3 linked regions of the Canis lupus familiaris genome follow. The protein of the gene in region 3 interacts with the protein of the main gene of each other region in a biochemical or structural test. Links are inferred from orthologs where the notes say so. Each region holds a gene or a part of one and is shown on either strand. Other genes may lie near its edges. The genes, in order: CHAF1A, LBR and CBX5.

Region 1 (5,912 bases), on a different chromosome or scaffold from region 3:
TGCAAAAGAAAAAAAAGGTTAACCTGCAAACATCTAAGGAATGAAAAGCCATCTACTGCCTTGGGCATCATTCTTATGGACACCTCAAGGGTTGGGAGAAATCCCATAGATGAATCCCATTATTTGACACTGACATGGGAGTCGGGTCATGGGAACACAGGCAAGCATGCCCCACTTAACAGGGTAGATGCTGCTTGGTCCCACTGCCAAGTGGGTTAGTGTCACCAAATAGGCTTTTCAAGAGAAGTTGAAAACCTAGTTTTTCTTAACTTATTTTTTCAAAAAAAATATTTATTTATTTATTTGAGAGAAAGAGTGGGAGAGGAGAGGGAGGGGCAGAGGGAGAATCTCAAGCAGACTCTGAACTCAGTGCAGAGTCTGCCATGGGACTCCATCTCACAACCTTGAGCCAAAATCAAGAGTTGGACCCTCAACCAACTGAGCCTCCCAGGTAGCCCTGAGATCTGGCTGAAATTTCAGATGACACTGCGGCTCGAAGGCTGGCTGTGAGTGAACTCAACCTAGGGCCTGCCTTGGCCTTCTGGGGGAAACCACAGGTGCAGGTGTGTGCTTACCCCCTCACTGTGGGACAGGGACTCGCCCGGCTCCTCCTCTTCCCACTCCTCGTCACTGTCCACCTCATAGTCCAGGAGCTTCTGAGAAAACAAGGACGCAGGGCGTCATGGTTGTCTTTCAGGGGTGGCAGAGCAGAAAAGCTACAATGCTTATGAAATCCAGGAGACCAGTGCAAAAAAGGCAAAATGAGAAGGAAATGTAGAAAGGCAGGTGAGGCTGGACCACTTGCTCACCCTGTCTTGGGCCCAGGGGTCCCTCGGATGGATGACGGTTGTCTTCTTATTCCACGTTCCCCAGTACGCTGGTCGATGATTCTCAGAAAACTGTAGGAGCTTCATCCTGCCAAACTTCTTCCTCTCAGGAACACCCTCGACCTTGCCGCTCTCCACGATCACCACATCACTGAGGAGGAAACCCAATAATGTGCCTGTTCTACAACCCACCCGCTGACCACCCAGGCTTCCCAAGAAAATAGGCTATCAACATTTTACCATGATGGGTAACCAACCACCTGCTCCCAAGAAAGCTAAGGGACATTTATTCCAGGGACACAGAGCAAGGAGGAAGGAGAAACAAAACTGCCAAGTTGCTGGCTCACAGCATTTACAGAAGTGGGGTCGTGGAGAGTAAGCAGATCAAAGAGAACGGTGAAATGTCCTTCCCAGGAGGCCAGCATGGAAATAAGATCCCCCCTCTGAGAGACCAGGAGGCCAAGCCAAGCAGTCTGCACTCCATAGCAGTGGCTTTTGGCAAAGCCACTGCACATGAGACTTCAGAAGCTCAGGGGAGGCCAAAAAAGCAAGGTCTGAAGGTTCAGGCCTTAGGTCCAGGATGGAAGACAACTAGCCCTTGGCCACGATGAGCCAGCAGCGGGCCTAAACCCAGAACTCTGCCTTGGGCCCTCCAGGACTTTCCAACTGCGCTCTGATTTCACCAACAGGCAAAAGGCTGTCTCCCCACCCACTAACCTGTTATAAATATTCGTGTTTCGATTTGAAACCACGGTGGGTCCGGACCTGAGGGGCTGACGGCCTTTCAGATCTTTCAGGAAGGAGAATTCGCCACTCTGTTGCTGGAGGAGCTGGTCCAACTGATCACAGAGGTCTTGGTCAAAGACAGTCCGAAACCGAGGGGCGAGAACCATGTGCTCTTTAATTTCAAAAGGGGCAAACTTCCCACAAGAGCCAGCCAGGGTCTGAAATGGAGAAGAGGATGTGATAGCATGCTTATGAGAGGGGATGCCCACCACTCAGCAGCCATGAGGGTGTGAGATGCTGGACACAATGGCATGTGCACATTGCTTTTCACATTCATCCAGGTTGCTAAGTCTCAGGAGACACACAAAAGGCTACACCCTCCGTGATGTCATTTATACTAGTTTCTGGAAAAGGCAAAACTACAGGGAGCCAAGTGAGGTGCCAGAAATACTCTAGACCTTGAGTATGGGATGGTGGAGCACGGGGGTGCTGTGGAGTCCATTATCAGAACTCAGCAAACGAGAGAATTTTACGTAAATTATACCTCAAAAAACATGGCTTTTTAAAAAGAAGGGGGTGGGCTGCAATAGAACCTGAATTCCCAGGTGAGGGAACTGAGACCCCGGGGACTGACCGCTTATCCAAAGCCAAACCTTGACAAGATGACTTACAACCCAAGCCCATCTCAACACTGAAAACGGACACATGAACCTGACAGGTCGGTGCCTGTTCCCTAAGAATTAACCGCCACATATTCTGGTGGGTTTAGTTTGCCCATCAAGAGTTGCTTCAGCATCTCCCATGTCTGTCAGTGGATCCCAAAGCTGGGAGCACAGCAGGACTTGGGGAGTCAGGAGGAGAGCCTAGATCTATAAAGCTCAGTATAGGAAAGCCAGCCTCCGACCCCATTGAGGATAGAGCACTATAGCAACAGCCTTCACCATGGCCACACAGCAGGACATCTGGAGGCTGCTGAAAACCTCAATGCCCACACCAGGGATGGGATCCAGGCTCCCTATTTTTGTAAAGCTCCCTGGGGATTCCCAACACAGAGCCAAAGCCAAGAACCACCTCACTAATAAACGGGTGCTGGGATGTCAGGCATCCATCCTAACAGAGTTAGGGCCAAGCCCATATGACCAGGAACTCTGGCTAAGAAACTATACATAAAAAAACAAAGCGGGGGGGATCCCTGGGTGGCTCAGTAGTTTGGCACCTGCCTTTGGCCCAGGGAGCGATCCTGGAGTCCCGGGATCGAGTCCCACATCGGGCTCCCGGCATGGAGCCTGCTTCTCCCTCCTCCTGTATCTGCCTCTCTTTCTCTCTCTCTATCATGAATAAATAAGTAAATCTTAAAAAAAAAAAAAAAAAAGGAACAAAGGGGACTGGCTGGCTCAGTTGGTAGAGCATACGACCCTTTATCTTGGGGTTGTGAGTCTGAACCTCACGTTGGGTGTAGAGGTGACTTAAAATCTTTAAAAACAGATGAACTAGAACAAACAGTAAAAAAAAAAAACCACAAAAAAACTAAGAAAGAGAATGTATCGTCAATGGCTACAGGGTAAACAAGGCTTTGTAACCACAAGCCCACTGCCATAAAAAATTTAAAAATGTTGACATTAAAACATAAAATTTTGGGCAGCCTGGGTGGCTCAGCGGTTTAGCGCTGCCTTCGGCCTGGGGTGTGATCCTGGAGACCCAGGATCGAGTCCCACGTCAGGCTCCCTGCATGGAGCCTGCTTCTCCTTCTGCCTGTGTCTCTGCCTCCCTCTCTCTGTTTCTCATGAATAAATAAATAAAATGTTACAAAACCAACAAAAAACTCATAAAATTTCTGAAGGACAAAAGACACAATAAACAGGTTAGAAAGCGAGTAGCAGACTGAAAGGGAGTATCTATAGCATGTGTCACCAAGAATGAAAATCCTGGCTGTGGGTGGCTCAGTTGGTGAAGCATGTGCCTTCAGCTCAGGTCATGATCCCAGGGTCCTGAGAGAGAGTCCTGTATCAGGTGCCTTGCTCAATAGGGAGTCTGCTCCTCCCTGTTTTCTCTTCCCCCCTCTCCAAATAAATGAATAAAAAAGAAAATCCTGGCTGTAAAAATAACTCCTAGAGTTCAGAGGAAAAGCCAATCCTATAGAAAAATAAGTAAAAAATAGGAATTGGCAAGACAGAGAAGAAATAAAGTGGCAGGATGCCTGGGTGGTTCTGTGGTTGAGCGTCTGCCTTTGGCTCAGGGTGTGATCCTGGAGTTCCAGGATCAAGTCCCACATTGGGCTCCTGAGGAGTCTGCTTCTCCCTCTGCCTATGTCTCCGCCTTCTGTATCTCTCGTGAATAAATAAAATCTTAAAAAAATAAATAAATAAAATGGCAAACACACACAAAAAGATGTCCAAGTGGAATCAAGGAAAAATGTAAAATGAAATAAGAATTTTTTTTTTTTTTTTTTTTGCCAACTAGATTGGTGAGGTTAAAAGAAAGCATGTTCCATTCAGTGCTAGTGCAGGAGAGAAGAGCATATTTCCCCATGATGCCCAGCATGGACATTAGCACTTCCCACTGGGAGGGTGCCCAGATAGGAACTAACGCAATTAGTGATTCTGTGAGTGTGTATCCTTGGACTGCGGGCCAAGCCCGCTTCCCGGTGGCTGTCCTAAAGAAAGGCATATATGCAGAGGAGGGTCAGTGACACTCACCGTGCCACTGATGGGGCATTGATACTGCAATGGACATACAAACTGTGACAACATCCACACTACGAAATGTTAAGTGGCAAGAGAGAACAAAGCTGACCCAAATGAGCCAGCATGGCAAGAATCCAAGATACAGCTATGTAAACAAAATAGGGACATAACAAACTCATGAATCATTATGTATATAAACAAATATATATGGAGGGATGTGAATGTAGTCAAAGCTCTAGGTGACACCACTGCATGGGTTACCTCTGGAGCACCGAGGGGCAGGGAAGGAAGTCTGGGGTTTCCAGAAGCAGGTGCTGCTTACAGGGTGACAAACACCAGGACAGGGAAGCAGAATCCTGGGCTGCATTCTAGACTGCTGACTTATGCTTAATCTTGCCTCCCATCCTGAGCCTCAGTTCTCTGAAGGTAAGGACTAGGTCTTCGATGACACCTTTCCACATAGCTCCTAATGCAAAACTGTTCATAAAGCAACTTAACGCTTAGCAGTTTTATATATATATTTTTTTAATGCTTAGCAGTTTTAGCAAACATGCCACTTTTAGCCTTTTCAAAGACATAACAAATAACAAAATATTGAGTCTTCAGACTCTACCAGAAATAAAAGCTCCCTTGTAAGCAGAGGCCCTCTCTTGATGAAAGGGGAGCTACCTGGTCAGAAAATACCCTTATACTTTTCAAAAGGAAGAACATGACCGAGAGAGAAAGCCAAGCCAGAGGAAGCCAGAAGCTCACCTTGGGAGCCTGTGGGGTCTTTGGCTTCTGAAAAAACCTCGTGATTTCAGCCTTCTCTGCTTTAATGCGCTGCAACAGAAAAGGAGATGAGCATGAAGAAATGAAGAGGGACAGTGGCCTCTAGAACAGGAGCCCCAGCACTTTTAAGCTGAAAGCATTCTTTTGATATGAGCTCTCAAAACCCATCAACATGCAGCCAGTCTCGGCGGGGGCCACCTGGCTTCCCCAGACGGAGGGAACACCAGCAGCCGTTTGGGAGAACAGTCTACCTTCTCTTCTTCCCGTAACCGTTTTTCCTCTTCTTTTTTCCTCTTCTCCTCCAGCTTTGCCCTGGGAGACAGGAAATTCGGCTTTAGCCCCAGGTGTGGCTCATAGGTCCCTGGCAGGGGTGTGTGTGTGTGTGGTGTGTGTGTGGGGGGGTGGAGGTGGGGAGAGGATATGCTTGTGTGCTGGGGGGAGGGGGTGGAGGTACTCCTGCTTCCCTGCCCCCCCCCCCCCCCCCCCCGCACCACCTCCCTGCCCACCCCCACCTTCCAAGGGCACACGCACTCTAGCGCCTCCTGCCGCTCCTTGCGCCTCTCCTCCTTGAGCCGCTGCTTCTCTGCCTTCTCCTTTTCATCCTTCTCCCTTTTCTCGCGCCTCTCCTTTTCCTTCAGCTCCTTCTCTTCCTCCTTCTTCTTCTTGGCTTCTTCTTTGGCCCGCTTGGCCTCCTCCTTCAGCTTCTCCTTTTCTTCTTTCTCGGCCCGTAACTTGAGCTGCTTGCCTAAACGTTCCTTATCCTGAAGCCAAGAGATGGTCCCACAGCTGTGCCCCTGTGCCTCCCAGGAGGGCCCACAGGCAGCTGGAGGGAGCAGAGAGGTGGCCCGCCCAGGACCCCCCCACTGGCCAGCACCCTCCCACACGGGCCACCCTGTAGCACCTG
Region 2 (6,478 bases), on a different chromosome or scaffold from region 3:
GAATTTCCTACTCGGCATCTTCAGGACTCAGTCTGGTTGAAAAGAAAAAACAAGGAGTTGCTGCATACGCACTTACATGTGTCTTTTTTCACAGAATAAACACTAAAACAACTTTCCAACTGGCCAACATTTTTGGACCAGAAACACCTCTGGGCAGGGGTAGGGGGAGAAGGGGACGTCCAACCCCTTTGTCCAAAGGTGAGAATATAGTGTAAAGCTGTTAACTGTTTTTTTCAAGGACATAAAAATTGGCAGCAGGAAATGGCAAGGGTTGGGATACACAGAGGCTGTTCTTTCTGCCAGGACATAAACCTTCTGGGGTCACTTTACACAGGATGATGTTGCCACCATGTCGCCTGCCAGTGATATGAAAATGCAGCAGGACATAAAGGCACCAGGTGGTTTGCACTCTGCAAAATCTATCACCCAAGTGACCAGACATCTTGCTGTTCAACAAGACACAGTCAACAATTAGGTCCATTTTTTCATTTATAAATTCGCATATGGGGGCGCTTGGCGGGCTCAGATGGTAGAGCGTGCAACTCCTCATCTCTGGGTTGTGAGTTCAAGCCTCACATTGGGCGTAGAGCTTACTTCAAATAAACTCTAATAAGAAACCAACCATCTGGGAAAATCAAGGATATACAATTAACGTTACTACAACCCACCAACAAGGAGAAAAATAATTCCAAACTCATAATGAAGAGCAAACTGGGGGTGCTTAAATAAAGTTTTTAAGTCTTACAGCTAAAATACAAATTCTACCAAACAAGTCTGCGGGTACCCGGCCTTCATCCTGGTGCAGCTCTCAGGGCTGCAGCAGACACCCACCCTCATTTTAACATTCTTTTGCACACGGCCCCCAGAGCCGCCTTTCCACCACACTCTGAGAAACCACGCATGATCCGCAGGAATTGCCACTTACAGGGGGCCTGCTGGCCACCCTCCTCCAATATCAACTGGTTGCTGGGCGCTTCCAGCTCTCAGGCCGCACGGTTTCCCCGTCCACGGAGTTACAGATTCCCACTTCCACGTGACAACACCGAGTGCCTCCAACTCTCCGCACCGGCGGCTGAACCAGCGGCTGGCCTCGTCTAAGCAGCAGACAGTCCTGCAGAGAAATGCTCCCCCAATGACCTTCCTGTCGCCAGCTCAACAACCTGATCGGCCGTCTGGGCACTAAGCATTCCTCCTCACTCTTCTCCTGTCCAGAGCCGCCGACTGTACAACGCCTGCCGTGTGGGCCCCCCCAGAAGCTCTGGAGTTAAGAAAGGACAAAGCTGCATTACCCCACCCCTCCAGGGGGAAACCTTTCATAAGCACATTTCTTCACTGTTAATTGCCTGAGAAAATACTTCACAAACTGCACTTGTTTAGAGATAGTAGGGAGGCTGGGAGATGAAAGCAAACACAGCCACTCAGCCAGTGATTAGAGGGTGTCCATCCATTACCCACCAGTGTAGAAGGGGCCCTGCCCGCACCCACCTGAGATAGCATCATCGTAGGCTAATGAAGGGGTGTGGGCGAGGGTGAGAGGAGCCAGAGGCATTGGGGCTGACTCACACCTAGCTAAGGAGGCACCGGAGGGGCACCTCGCCAGTGGAGGCAGTGGATGCCTGGGGACACACAGAAAGGGCACAAAAAGGAAGGTGACAACAGCAAACCTTGTCTGTTTCAACATTCAGGTCCGAGAACCTCCAAGTACTAAGAAAGAGGAAGGAAATGTGCCCTCTTCTCTCTTGCCCCTCCTCCTCCCTGGACCCCCTAAAATCAAACCACTGTTACTGGTACTGATTCTCTGATGCTGGTCAACCAGGGTTTAAAGAAGACAACTATATCTGACTACATGAAGATGCCATTCAAGTTTCAAACAACTCTCCACACATCTGAAATCCAGTCCCTCAGAACTTTTAAAAAGGCCTCGGAACAGATACTGCACCTTTCTGAACACTGATTTATTGGCATCTTTCTATTACACTCAAGTAAATCTTTTAGGTTAGGGTGCCTGGGTAGCCTTGTGGTTGAGCATCTGCCTTTGGCTCACTGCGTGATCCTGGAGTCCTGGGAGAGTCCTGCATCGGGCTCCCCCTGCAGGGAGCCTGCTTCTCTCTGCCTATGTCTCTGCCTCTCTCTGTGCCTCTCATGAATAAATAAATAAAATCTTAATTAAATAAATATTTTGGGTTACAGAAATTAAGATACCTGGTGAATATCTGTTAGGTCACTATGCTTAATTTTTTAAAAAGATAACAAAGAACTGGGACTTCATAGTGATGTTTCACATGGTGGCCAAGAAAGAAAACCCAAGCCGGCACTTTCCTTAGGAGACCACTATGGTATCAACAAATACCCCAAAAGATGAAACCACAGCATCATGTGCACCTCCACTTTGCCCAAGATCCTCCCACATTGTGACAGCGGGGCCACCTTCTAACAGGATCTCCTGCGGGAGTAAATGGGCCAGGTCTGGACACTCGAGCTTCACTGCCATCACACATCCTTCTAATGAGGGGCAGACACACAGACAAGCTTCTCTTAGAAGGGATGTATCAGTCAAGGGTGGAAAGAAAAAATGTGTTTACTGAATACCACCTTCTCAGGCTTGTGGCTGTGAAGCCCCATGCTTGCTAACTTCTCAGTCAGCCCTGGAATCCTCACCCACTTGGGCTCCAATATGTTACTGTTTATCAACACCACAGAGCACTGCTGATCAGAGACCACAGTGTTACACGGTCTGTGGTCATCTTTCCCTCACTTTTCCAAACCAGTCCAGATAGGGCAGAAAGGGGAACTTGGAGAAGTCTGACTGCCTCCCTTGCACACCTGGGCCCAAGGTCGGCCCACTAGGCATACCCTGGCCTTGCCCCCTGCCCCCTGCCCCCTGCCCCCTGCCCCCTGCAGGAGGCCAGGGTAACACCACAGCCCCGGCCGCCGTCAGGTCAGGCCGGGGAGGCTGACCGAACCCCCTAGGTAATGCAAACACCCCAAGGTGAGGCCCGCTCCCCGGAGGCTCACTCTTCTCCCTCCTCCCCGGACAGCTCTCGGAAACCGGCTGGAGCAGCTGCCCGTGCTCTGTCCACACCCGGCGTCTTCCTGCCCCGCAGCAGGGCCCGTCCTCCCGCCACCAGCACACGGGGCACGGGGCACGGGGCACGCGGCGCGGGCTAGTGCGGCAGGTGCGCGCAGCCGCCAAGGACCTCAGGCCGTAGAGGGGCCCCTTGAGACCGTGGGACGGTGTCGCGACGAGGACTTTGTAAAGATCCTTAAGACGCTGAAAACACAGGGTCGAGCACGCGCAGCCCGCCGCGCTACCCGCGTTCGGAGCGTGAGAGCCGCGGGCCGGGAGACGGCGAGCGCGGACGTCAGAGCATCCCCCGCCCCCGCCCCGGCCCGGCCCCGGCCCGGCCCCCGCCCCGCGCGCCCCTCCCCCGGCCCCGGCCGGGCCCCCCTCCCCTCCCCCCGCGTCCCCGCCCGGCCCGCCGCGGCCGCACGCAGGCTCCAGGCCCCCCCGCCGCCCTCCCGCCGACGCCGCCGCCGCGCGCCCAAAATGGAGGGAGGCGCCGGCGATCTCCACCTCCGCTCCACTTCCGCCGCGGCCCCGCCGACCCCCGCGGGAAAGCCCAGGCCGCGCGTCCCCGCCCCCGCCGCCCCCCACCCCCCCGCCCCCGCCTCCCGCCTCCCGCCTCCCGCCCCCGCCCCCGGAGGCCGCTCGGCGCTGGGCGGCGGGCGCGGGGACGCTCACCTGCGCCGGGCTCCGGCGGGACGCGAACGGCTCCGGGACACCCGCCCAGCAGCACCCGCCCAGCAGCACCCGCCCAGCAGCACCCGCCCGCCGCTCCGCGCGCACGACGCCGCCCGCCCCGCGCGCACCCGCACCCGCACCCGCGCGCCCGAGCGCGCCCCCGCCCGCCCCGCCCCGCCCCGCCCCGCCCCGCCCCGCGCTCCCATTGGCCGCCCGGCCTTTTGAATCGTCCCCGGCGCCGCCCATTGGCCGTGCGCGTGGCGCGGCTGCGGGGGCGGGGCAGGCGCGGAGCCGGGCCGAGGGCTCCATCCGCCCGCCGCCCGCCGCCCGCCGTATCTGGGCGGCCCAGGCGCCGCGCCCCCGCCCCGCCCCTGCGCCCCCGCCCCGCCCAGCCGTGCCCCGCGCGCTCCGGAGAAAGATAATCGCTACCTGCCCAGGAGTCCGTCAGTTCGCGCGGTGCCGAGTCCGGGCCGACTGTCGGGGGCGGCAGGTGCTTCCCGCCAACTCGCAGGCTGAGCTCTCCCGACCGCGAGGGCGGCTGCGGCCGGCCCGCCCCGACGGCCCCTCCAGGGCTCCGGCTCCTTTGTCCCGGCGGCGGGACCCGGCCTGGGCCGCGAGCGGGTGGGGGGCGCAGTGACCGGAGCGTGGGCAGGGGTGGGGCGGGGGGCGCAGTGACCGGAGCGAGGGCAGGGGTGGGGCGGGGGGCGCAGTGACCCGAGCGAGGGCAGGGGTGGGGCGGGGGGCGCAGTGACCCGAGCGAGGGGCAGGGGTGCCGCGGGGTCTGGGGAGCCAGGGGGCCGGGGGTCCTGGCCGCAGGTGCCAGAAAGTACGCCGTTAACATGTGACCGGCGACAGAGAACTCTTGCCTTGTGCGCCCGGCTACCACAAGGCTGGTGTTAATTGGCCTCCAAAGCGGCGATCGATAACTCGGAATCTGGTATGGATCCTATAGCTTTTTGTGCCTCAAGTTATCATCATCGGTTGGTTGGTTTCCTTACTCTGAGGTCGAGAGTTTAAAGAAGTCCATTGAAGTTCCCCGTTTTGCAGTGTGGTCTTCAAGTACTTCTTAACCCAACTACTAGGTTAGCCTAACTTACTGGTAAATTTAAGTGAATGTCAAAAACTCTGTCAGTTAAATTATAATAATAAACAGGCTTTTCCTGTTGATGGCACAGCTTCACTCGCAAGAGTTCTCATTTTCTAACAGTTATGAGCTACAAAACACTCAGTTTACTACTTTAAAAAAAAAAAAAAGCTAATTGAGCTTTCTCAGTCATTCACATCCAGTGTGAAAGCTTTTATCGGAGCCTTTCCTGAAAACAAGTCCTGACATCAAACTGTCTTCATTGTTGTGGAGTTTTCTTGGAGATCTGAGCTACAAAAATGGACATTGCACTCCAAAGTCAAAAAACCTGATTTTTGGCAAAGCCATGGACCCTGGTTGTCTAACGTTTAAGATAATATCAACCCTGCCTCATTTTTTTTGCAGCAGATGACCCAGAAATGGGTACCTATCCCAGGTCCAGGGGGCCCCAAGATAGACTTTATTCCTAATGGCCAAGCAGTGCTACTCTGTTCTCATCTGCCCTGCCCAGAACCAAGATTTCACTGCCCTTCCCTTGAAATACGCATTTCCTGGATCATTTCCGTTTATGAGACAAAAGATTCTCTTAAACACACATGTTGCATTTTCAAAGTCAGGTTTATAAAAGCCTCATAACAAAATGAAATTAAAAGATTGTAAATCACTAGAATGAGCTGAGCTAACATTTTACCTTATAAATTACCAAAAATATTTTTCAAAACAGCTGCTTCTGACATCAGAGAAACAAAGCAATACTTATTTATTTCTAGCTAGTGGACTGAGGTGTGTTGTGAAAAATCAGATTGATACATAGGCTACTTCCTCAATAAAGGAATAATTGGTATTTTCCTCTCATTTTTCTTACAAAAACTACTTAAAGTGTGTATATTTGGGAGTAGAGAATTTCCAGGGTTTGTTCTCAGAGAGATGTTCATCAATCACATGTAGCAAGTGTGGATTTTCAGAATATATAAAGTCAGAGTCACTTAAAGAGCAGAGTCTTGGATGCCTGGATGGCTCAGCGGTTGGGTGCCTGCTTTCAGCTCAGGTCATGATCCTGGGATCCAGGATTGAGTTCTGCATTGAGCTCCCTGGGAGGAGCCTGCTTCTCCCTCTGCCTGTGTCTCTGCCTCTCTCTTTCTGTGTGTGTGTGTGTGTGTGTCTCTCTCTGTCTGTCTCTCATGAATAAATAAATAAATCTTTAAAAAAAAGAGCAGAGTGTTGGCACTGCTGTTAAGGTAGCAGTGAGTGGCACAGTGCCCTCCCACAATCTGCAAGGAAAGTGAGGTAGTGGGGAAGCAAAGCCCACCGCCTGGCCACTGACAGAGCCAGAGACCACACGTGGGGCCAGGAAATCTCATGTGGGAAACCCAGGAACCTCCTTGCGGTGTGATCGCTCATGGAGATTCTCTGCTTTAGCTTCCCAGAGGATCTGGGCTGTGAGGACTGAAACAGTTCTTTTGGGAAGCAGGTCTAGGCACAGTTTCACATGACGTGAGGAAGCCCATTTGGACTCTTTCGGTACTGTTTTGTTGAGGCTGTTTTTAGCGATTTTATTTATTCATTTATTTGAGAGAAAACAAGCAGAGGGGGAAGGAAAAGTAGGCTGCCCGCTGAGCAGGGAGCCCCACCAAGGACTCGATCCCAGAACC
Region 3 (5,912 bases):
CTCCATCTCGATTTCAAGGTGAGGACAACCCTAACAGCTCCGTACTTTCAAGGAGAAATTCAAGTAAATAAATTATCAGTGAGTATCATTTAACTGCTGCTACATCAGACAGAAGCGGAAGTCTTCAGCTAGAACTTAGATGGAAAACATAGCAGGCTTAATCAAAAGGCTGAAAATGAAGTTATATAAATTTTGCTCCTATAATTTTGATTTATATGTATTGAGTGAACATGATCAAATCTACATTCAGTCCTATTGATTATGCACAGAATGATCAATACAGTTTCTGGATCATCTCAGTGAAAGGGTTAACCTTTCTCATCTTGTGGCCTTTTAAACACTCACTATCCTTTTGGTGAGAACTATGGACTAGAATAGTAAGAAAACAGAAATTTAAGTCTGCAATAGTACTTATATAAGGAACAATAAGAGAATGTAAAATCCAGTCACTAAAATGAAATGTAGGAATTAGCTGCAAATTTCAATTGTCCAAGTTACAAGAGCTCTACCAACGTGTATAAATAAAATTCTAGCCCTGGGTGGCTCAGTGGTTTAGCGCCTGCCTTCAGTCCAGGGAGTGATCCCAGAGTCCTGGGATCGAGTCCCACATCGGGCTCCCTGCATGGAGCCTGCTTCTCCCTCTGCCTGCGTCTCTGCCTCTCCCTGTGTCTCTTGTGAATAAATAAAACATACATACATACATACATAAATAAAAATCTAGCAAGTCCCTTAACCAGCATTCCAAATGGAGAAAGTATTATGGGTGAGGAAAGGAGGGGAAAACACACAGCTCAGAGCAGACACTCAAATTTGGACTGTGGTGGAAAAAAAAGCTAGTTAATGTATGATTATAAATCATATGCAACACATATGGCTGAGTGGGGGAAAATAGTCAATACAGTTCCTTACTTCTGACAGAGTATAATGATTCTTCAAATCTAGGCTTCTGGGTAATTTACCAGCAAAATTTCGATCAGATAAAATATTAAACCTTTTGATTCTACAACTTCAAGGTAAATAAGCTTCCTCAGTGGCAATGCAGCATGAAGCCTCTCTTTAGAAACCAAACTTAAATCACAAGCCCAGAACACTGGAAACAGAGAGGTAGTGAGGGCCACACCATAAATCACCCTGTCTTTACGAAACCAAATTGAGGGGAAGTAACTACACTTTCCTCTAAGAGACACTCCCTCCACCGGATGAAATAACTTACGCTTATTTACGCTTTGGCTAGTATTAGTAAATGCTCTCTGTTGAGATGATTTTTCGCTTTTAGACATTATTCAGTTGTTTTGATCCTTAGTGATGCCAGAAAGCCTCACTCAACTCCTATCTCATGGCCACAGGCTCATGGTCTAACGGTAAATGATTCAGAACTGTGTAAATAAATGGTTAGGTCATGTCTATACGTTTCCTACCTCAAAGCTACCTTAGGTATTTGGGCTAAAATAATTTGGCTTAATACCAAGGCTTGAGAATGTCTTAAATCCACTCCCAACCATAATTTCCATTAATACTAATGGGTGATATAAACCAAAGATTCTTGACAATCAAAATTCTTAGTCGGGATATACTCTGCCTTCCTTCCCTATCTTCTATACAAATTCAAGCCACTGGCAAAGAAACACAACTATACAGTGAAGCCCAATCTCTCTCACCATTTCATTAGGAACATTAAATCACCACAGGAATCTGTCGCCCCAATGATCTTTTCTGGTTCCAGTCCTCTCTCAAAGCCCCGAGCGATATCATTGCTCTGCTATAAATAGAAGATAAAGAAAAGGTTACAGTCTGGAGAAGAGTTAAAAAAAAAAAAGTTTCACAGCTCAACAAAGCCCAACCTAAGTTCATTTTTGTCACAAATTCAAAGAATTCTTAGAACTTAAGAAATACAATACTGGGCCAGCCAGTGACAATGACGCCAAGAAGTATTTTTGTTAGATGCAGTTGTCCTTCTACTACACTTTCACAGGATTACAAGCAGCCCCTAAAACTCTTTCATATCCCTTAAGATATTCTGGAGGCATCACCTAGGAACTCATCTAACCTTCTAATCTAATCTCCTTGATATTATGAATTGACTACTTCTCAATTGTTGCTTCCGAGATGATAAACAAGTCCATGCTTACCCGAACTAAACCCTTTTTCATTTTATAAACTCAAACGTACCGCTTCTCCATCTTAATTTTTTTAGACATTTAGTCTACCTTAACACTGACCAGTATTTTTAATATTTTTCACAGTCGTTTATATTTATGAAAGAACAGAGATAAGAATGATTCAAGGCAGTACCATAAAATAGCAAATCTCTTTCAGAGCTCACATACTGCACAATACCCACACACTTGGAGAAGAGGCCCTGGTCTGTGCCTAACCCCTCCTGATATGCATGAGCTGTTAGCACTAGAAAACAGAACTGGAGAGTGATTTAAAACAAACCAGTAATTTTCTAGATTATTCAAACTTGGTCAAAATGCAATCATGCAATCAAGACAAGGAGCACAGAGTCCTATTCAGGTGTGATGGCACTGATGAGAGCAAAACAGTGAAATTTTAGACAAACCAGGTAATTTTAAAAACCTTATTATGGAAGATAATGCAAGCTTATCTAGTGGTAACATAAAAAAGATTTAAAAAGACTGCCCAAATGAACTAGATCTCTGATGTCCGATTTTCATAATAAAATCTCTTTGATCTGACATTTACTCTGCCCTTTTTTTTTGAGAGAGAGAGATACAAAGTATTCAGGATCCAGGTGGTCCCCAAAGATACCAGAACCAACACTGGGAAGGAAATTCCATGCACGGATCAGGGGAGATACTGACTTAAAAACACTGCCTCTTTTGGGGGCGCTTAAGGGGAGGAGGTTCCCAGATGTGCACACAGCTGCTCACAGCTGGAATGCTGGCACACAAACTGAGTTGTAAATCATAGCTGGCGGCTGAAAACAGTTTGCCACATAGAGAGGGAAGGGAAGAAAAATGTTCAAGCTGCTGAAAAGGAGCCGAGGCGAGGAAAATGCTAAAATCATCACACAGGCAGTAATCTTAAATCAGGCATAATGCCGACTAACAAATTTCTTCTGCAGTGGTCTAAAGAAAGAAACGCAATCCCCTCCTGTACCTTTAAAACATACAATCACCTATCTTCCTGGCTGCCTACCTGACAGCCGCCAGCACTGCTGAGAATGCTGTCAGGGACCCTAGATGAACATTACAAGGGACGTGTGGGGGTTGTTTTCAAGGTCAGCAGCATCAGAACCTGGCCCAGGAAAGAAACTCTCTATGCCGGCCAGTAGGTCTAAGCCAGACTGCTCCTTTTTGAAAGGAGAGAAACCCTAGGTTGAGGAAATACACAACGTATGTCACAAATGGCTAGTCCCAAGTCTTCTGCTGTGCTGTTTTTTGGTCTCTTTACTTAGCTAGAAAATGAATCAAACAACAAAAGCCAGAATACAAAGGACTAATAAAAAAGAAAGAGCAAACCAGGTCTTAGCTCCTTAGAGAAGAGAAGGCATTCTCAAATTCCTTATCAGTACAGTATATCATAATGATATACATACCTCACCAAAACAAAGTAGTTTTAAAAATATGGTTGCAAAAAATAAAATTAACCAGGGAAGCAAATAAAGAGATAGACACAAACCTAGAGTGCACTTTCACTTTTAGCCTCCAATCTTTCACTCTTATTTCAATTCTTTTTGGAAAGCTGATCTCCCATTTTCTCTATCACTTGTGTAAGTCTTTTAAAATACTGATGTCTAGGGTCCAACCCAGAGAAGTCTGAATTTAACTAGTCTGAGGTGTATCTTGGGTACTTGGTCTTTTTTTTTTTTTTTTTTTTTTAAGCCCCTCACCCACCCCTAGCGATTCTAATGTACAGCTAGGGCTGAGAACTAATGTTCTAGAAAGATGGGTATCAAGTAGAATGAAGATAAATAGAGATGCTTATGGTAGGGACACTAGAAAATTCTGAAGTGGACTTATGCTTTTATTTTATTAAATGTTAAGGGTATGATACATCCTTCATCACAAAAGGCTTCATAACCTTGAAATAAATGAAAGGATTGGAAGCTGGGGGGGTGGGTAATATGTGTGTCTGTGTGTGTGTACAGATGGAAAATATACACATGAAAAAAAGAGAAGCAGGAACAGGGCTTATGCTAGTGATTGAGAGCTAAAGATCAGAAGAATTAAAGTAACTAAATCAAACCAAACTTTCATAAACACACGTTTTAAACTTAACAATAGGGATGCCTGGGTGGCTTAGCAGTTGAGCATCTGCCTTCAGCTCAGGGCATGATCCTGGGTCTAGGGATCAAGTCCCACATCAGGTTCCCCGTAGGGAGCCTGCTTCTCCCTCTGCCTATGTCTCTGCCTCTCTTTCTGCCTCTCATGAATAAATAAATAAAATCTTAAAAAAAATAAACTGAACTAAAAAAAAAAAAGATGAAAATTATTTGGAGTATGTAGAAATAATAGACTCAAAAGAGAATATACATGCCACTGAACTGTACACCTTAAAATGGTTAATTGCGTCTAGGCGCAGTCAGTTGAGCATCTTGGTTTCAGCTCAGGTTGTGATCTCAGGGTCTTGAGATCAAGCCCCAGGTCAGGCTCCCTGTTCAGCGGAGTCTGCTTGTGATTCTCTCCCTTCTCCCTCTGCCCTTCTCCAACAATGTATGCATACGTGCTCATTCTCTCTCAAATAAATCCTTAATAATAAAATGAAATGGTTTATTGCATGCTATGTGAATTTCACTTCAATTTAAAAAAGAATTTTAAAGTTTAAAAATAAGTGCTATCTTTGAAACAAAAAAATTAGAAAAAAAATTAGTAAATATTTTATTTTTTACTTTTATTTAAAAAAGATTGTATTTATTTATTCATGAGACACAGAGAGAGAGAGGCAGAGACACAGGCAGAGGGAGAAGCAGGCTCCCTGCAGAGAGCCCAATGTGGGACTCGATCCCAGGATTCCAGGATCATGCCCTGGACCAAAAGCAGACGCTCAACCGCTGAGCCACCCAGGCGTCCCATTAGTAAACACTTTAAAGCCCCTTTTCTACACTTAAAAACTTCACCAAGTCCCTCCCTCACTAAGATAACTTTGCCTATTTATTATGGAGAAGACAGGAAGTGGTTACCTGTTTTACAGGGATTTAATTTTGCCACTCTACTACAATTCAGTGGAATATACAGTATGTTTCTCAATCAGCCAGGAGAGGGAGCTGCAGTTAATCAACGTACCTCCTTGGAAGCTCTTTTGTTCAACAATTTACCTTGCAAGCCACCCTTAGAACAGAAACCACCAAGATATTGCTTAGGAGGTTGGGGAGGTGGGGAAGAGGCAAAACAAATGTTTGTGGGAAAAAGGGGAAAAGAAGCTTACCTCTCTCTTTTTTTTGGATTTGATATCATCAGCATTGTTCGAGAAATTGGATTTCCTCTTGTTACTTTCTGATTTCTCCCTGGGTTTGTTATTTTCACCCTCCTTCATCTTCTTATACTTTTTCATAAACTCAGAAATTAGCTCAGGACAATCCAAATTTTTCTCGGGTTCCCAAGTATTGTGCTCCCTGGGCACAAAGAATGGGGGGGGGGGGGAGGAAAAGAATGAGGGGGGAAAAATCCAGTGCTTTCTTTCAAAGAAGACAAGTAGGCAAAAAGAAATAAGCCTTACACTTAAGAGAGAACAAATTTGATCTTAGGAATCTATCTAAGAGAAATGAAAAAAATACATATCCACAAAGAAACTTGCACACAAGTACTTATAGCAGCATTTTAATAGCTAAAGACAGAAAACAATTCAAATGCCCATCAACTTGTGAATGGATGAATAAATGTGGTGTATCTATACAGGAGAATACTATTCAGCAAAAAAGGGAGCACAATACTAATTAATACATGTCA

Evidence for each region.
Region 1: the proteins of CBX5 (region 3) and CHAF1A form a complex in vitro, tested with the Homo sapiens proteins (2 studies listed by BioGRID). The link is inferred for Canis lupus familiaris from reciprocal best matches to the Homo sapiens genes CBX5 and CHAF1A.
Region 2: the proteins of CBX5 (region 3) and LBR form a complex in vitro, tested with the Homo sapiens proteins (2 studies listed by BioGRID, with this or other methods). The link is inferred for Canis lupus familiaris from reciprocal best matches to the Homo sapiens genes CBX5 and LBR.

What each region holds. Positions count from the first base shown.
Region 1 is NC_049241.1:55,656,818-55,662,729, forward strand, and holds part of CHAF1A (chromatin assembly factor 1 subunit A), read right to left. Parts: intron 5,770-5,912; coding exon 5,540-5,769; intron 5,321-5,539; coding exon 5,260-5,320; intron 5,060-5,259; coding exon 4,991-5,059; intron 1,772-4,990; coding exon 1,545-1,771; intron 979-1,544; coding exon 810-978; intron 657-809; coding exon 576-656; intron 1-575. UniProt on the Homo sapiens protein: Acts as a component of the histone chaperone complex chromatin assembly factor 1 (CAF-1), which assembles histone octamers onto DNA during replication and repair.
Region 2 is NC_049228.1:39,236,873-39,243,350, reverse strand, and holds the start of LBR (delta(14)-sterol reductase LBR), read right to left. Parts: upstream 3,860-6,478; 5' UTR 3,743-3,859; intron 3,232-3,742; exon of another isoform or gene 3,016-3,231; intron 1,112-3,015; exon of another isoform or gene 926-1,111; intron 33-925; 5' UTR 19-32; coding exon 1-18. UniProt on the Homo sapiens protein: Catalyzes the reduction of the C14-unsaturated bond of lanosterol, as part of the metabolic pathway leading to cholesterol biosynthesis.
Region 3 is NC_049248.1:45,609,889-45,615,800, forward strand, and holds part of CBX5 (chromobox protein homolog 5), read right to left. Parts: intron 5,579-5,912; coding exon 5,392-5,578; intron 1,760-5,391; coding exon 1,659-1,759; intron 79-1,658; exon of another isoform or gene 19-78; intron 1-18. UniProt on the Homo sapiens protein: Component of heterochromatin that recognizes and binds histone H3 tails methylated at 'Lys-9' (H3K9me), leading to epigenetic repression. In contrast, it is excluded from chromatin when 'Tyr-41' of histone H3 is phosphorylated (H3Y41ph).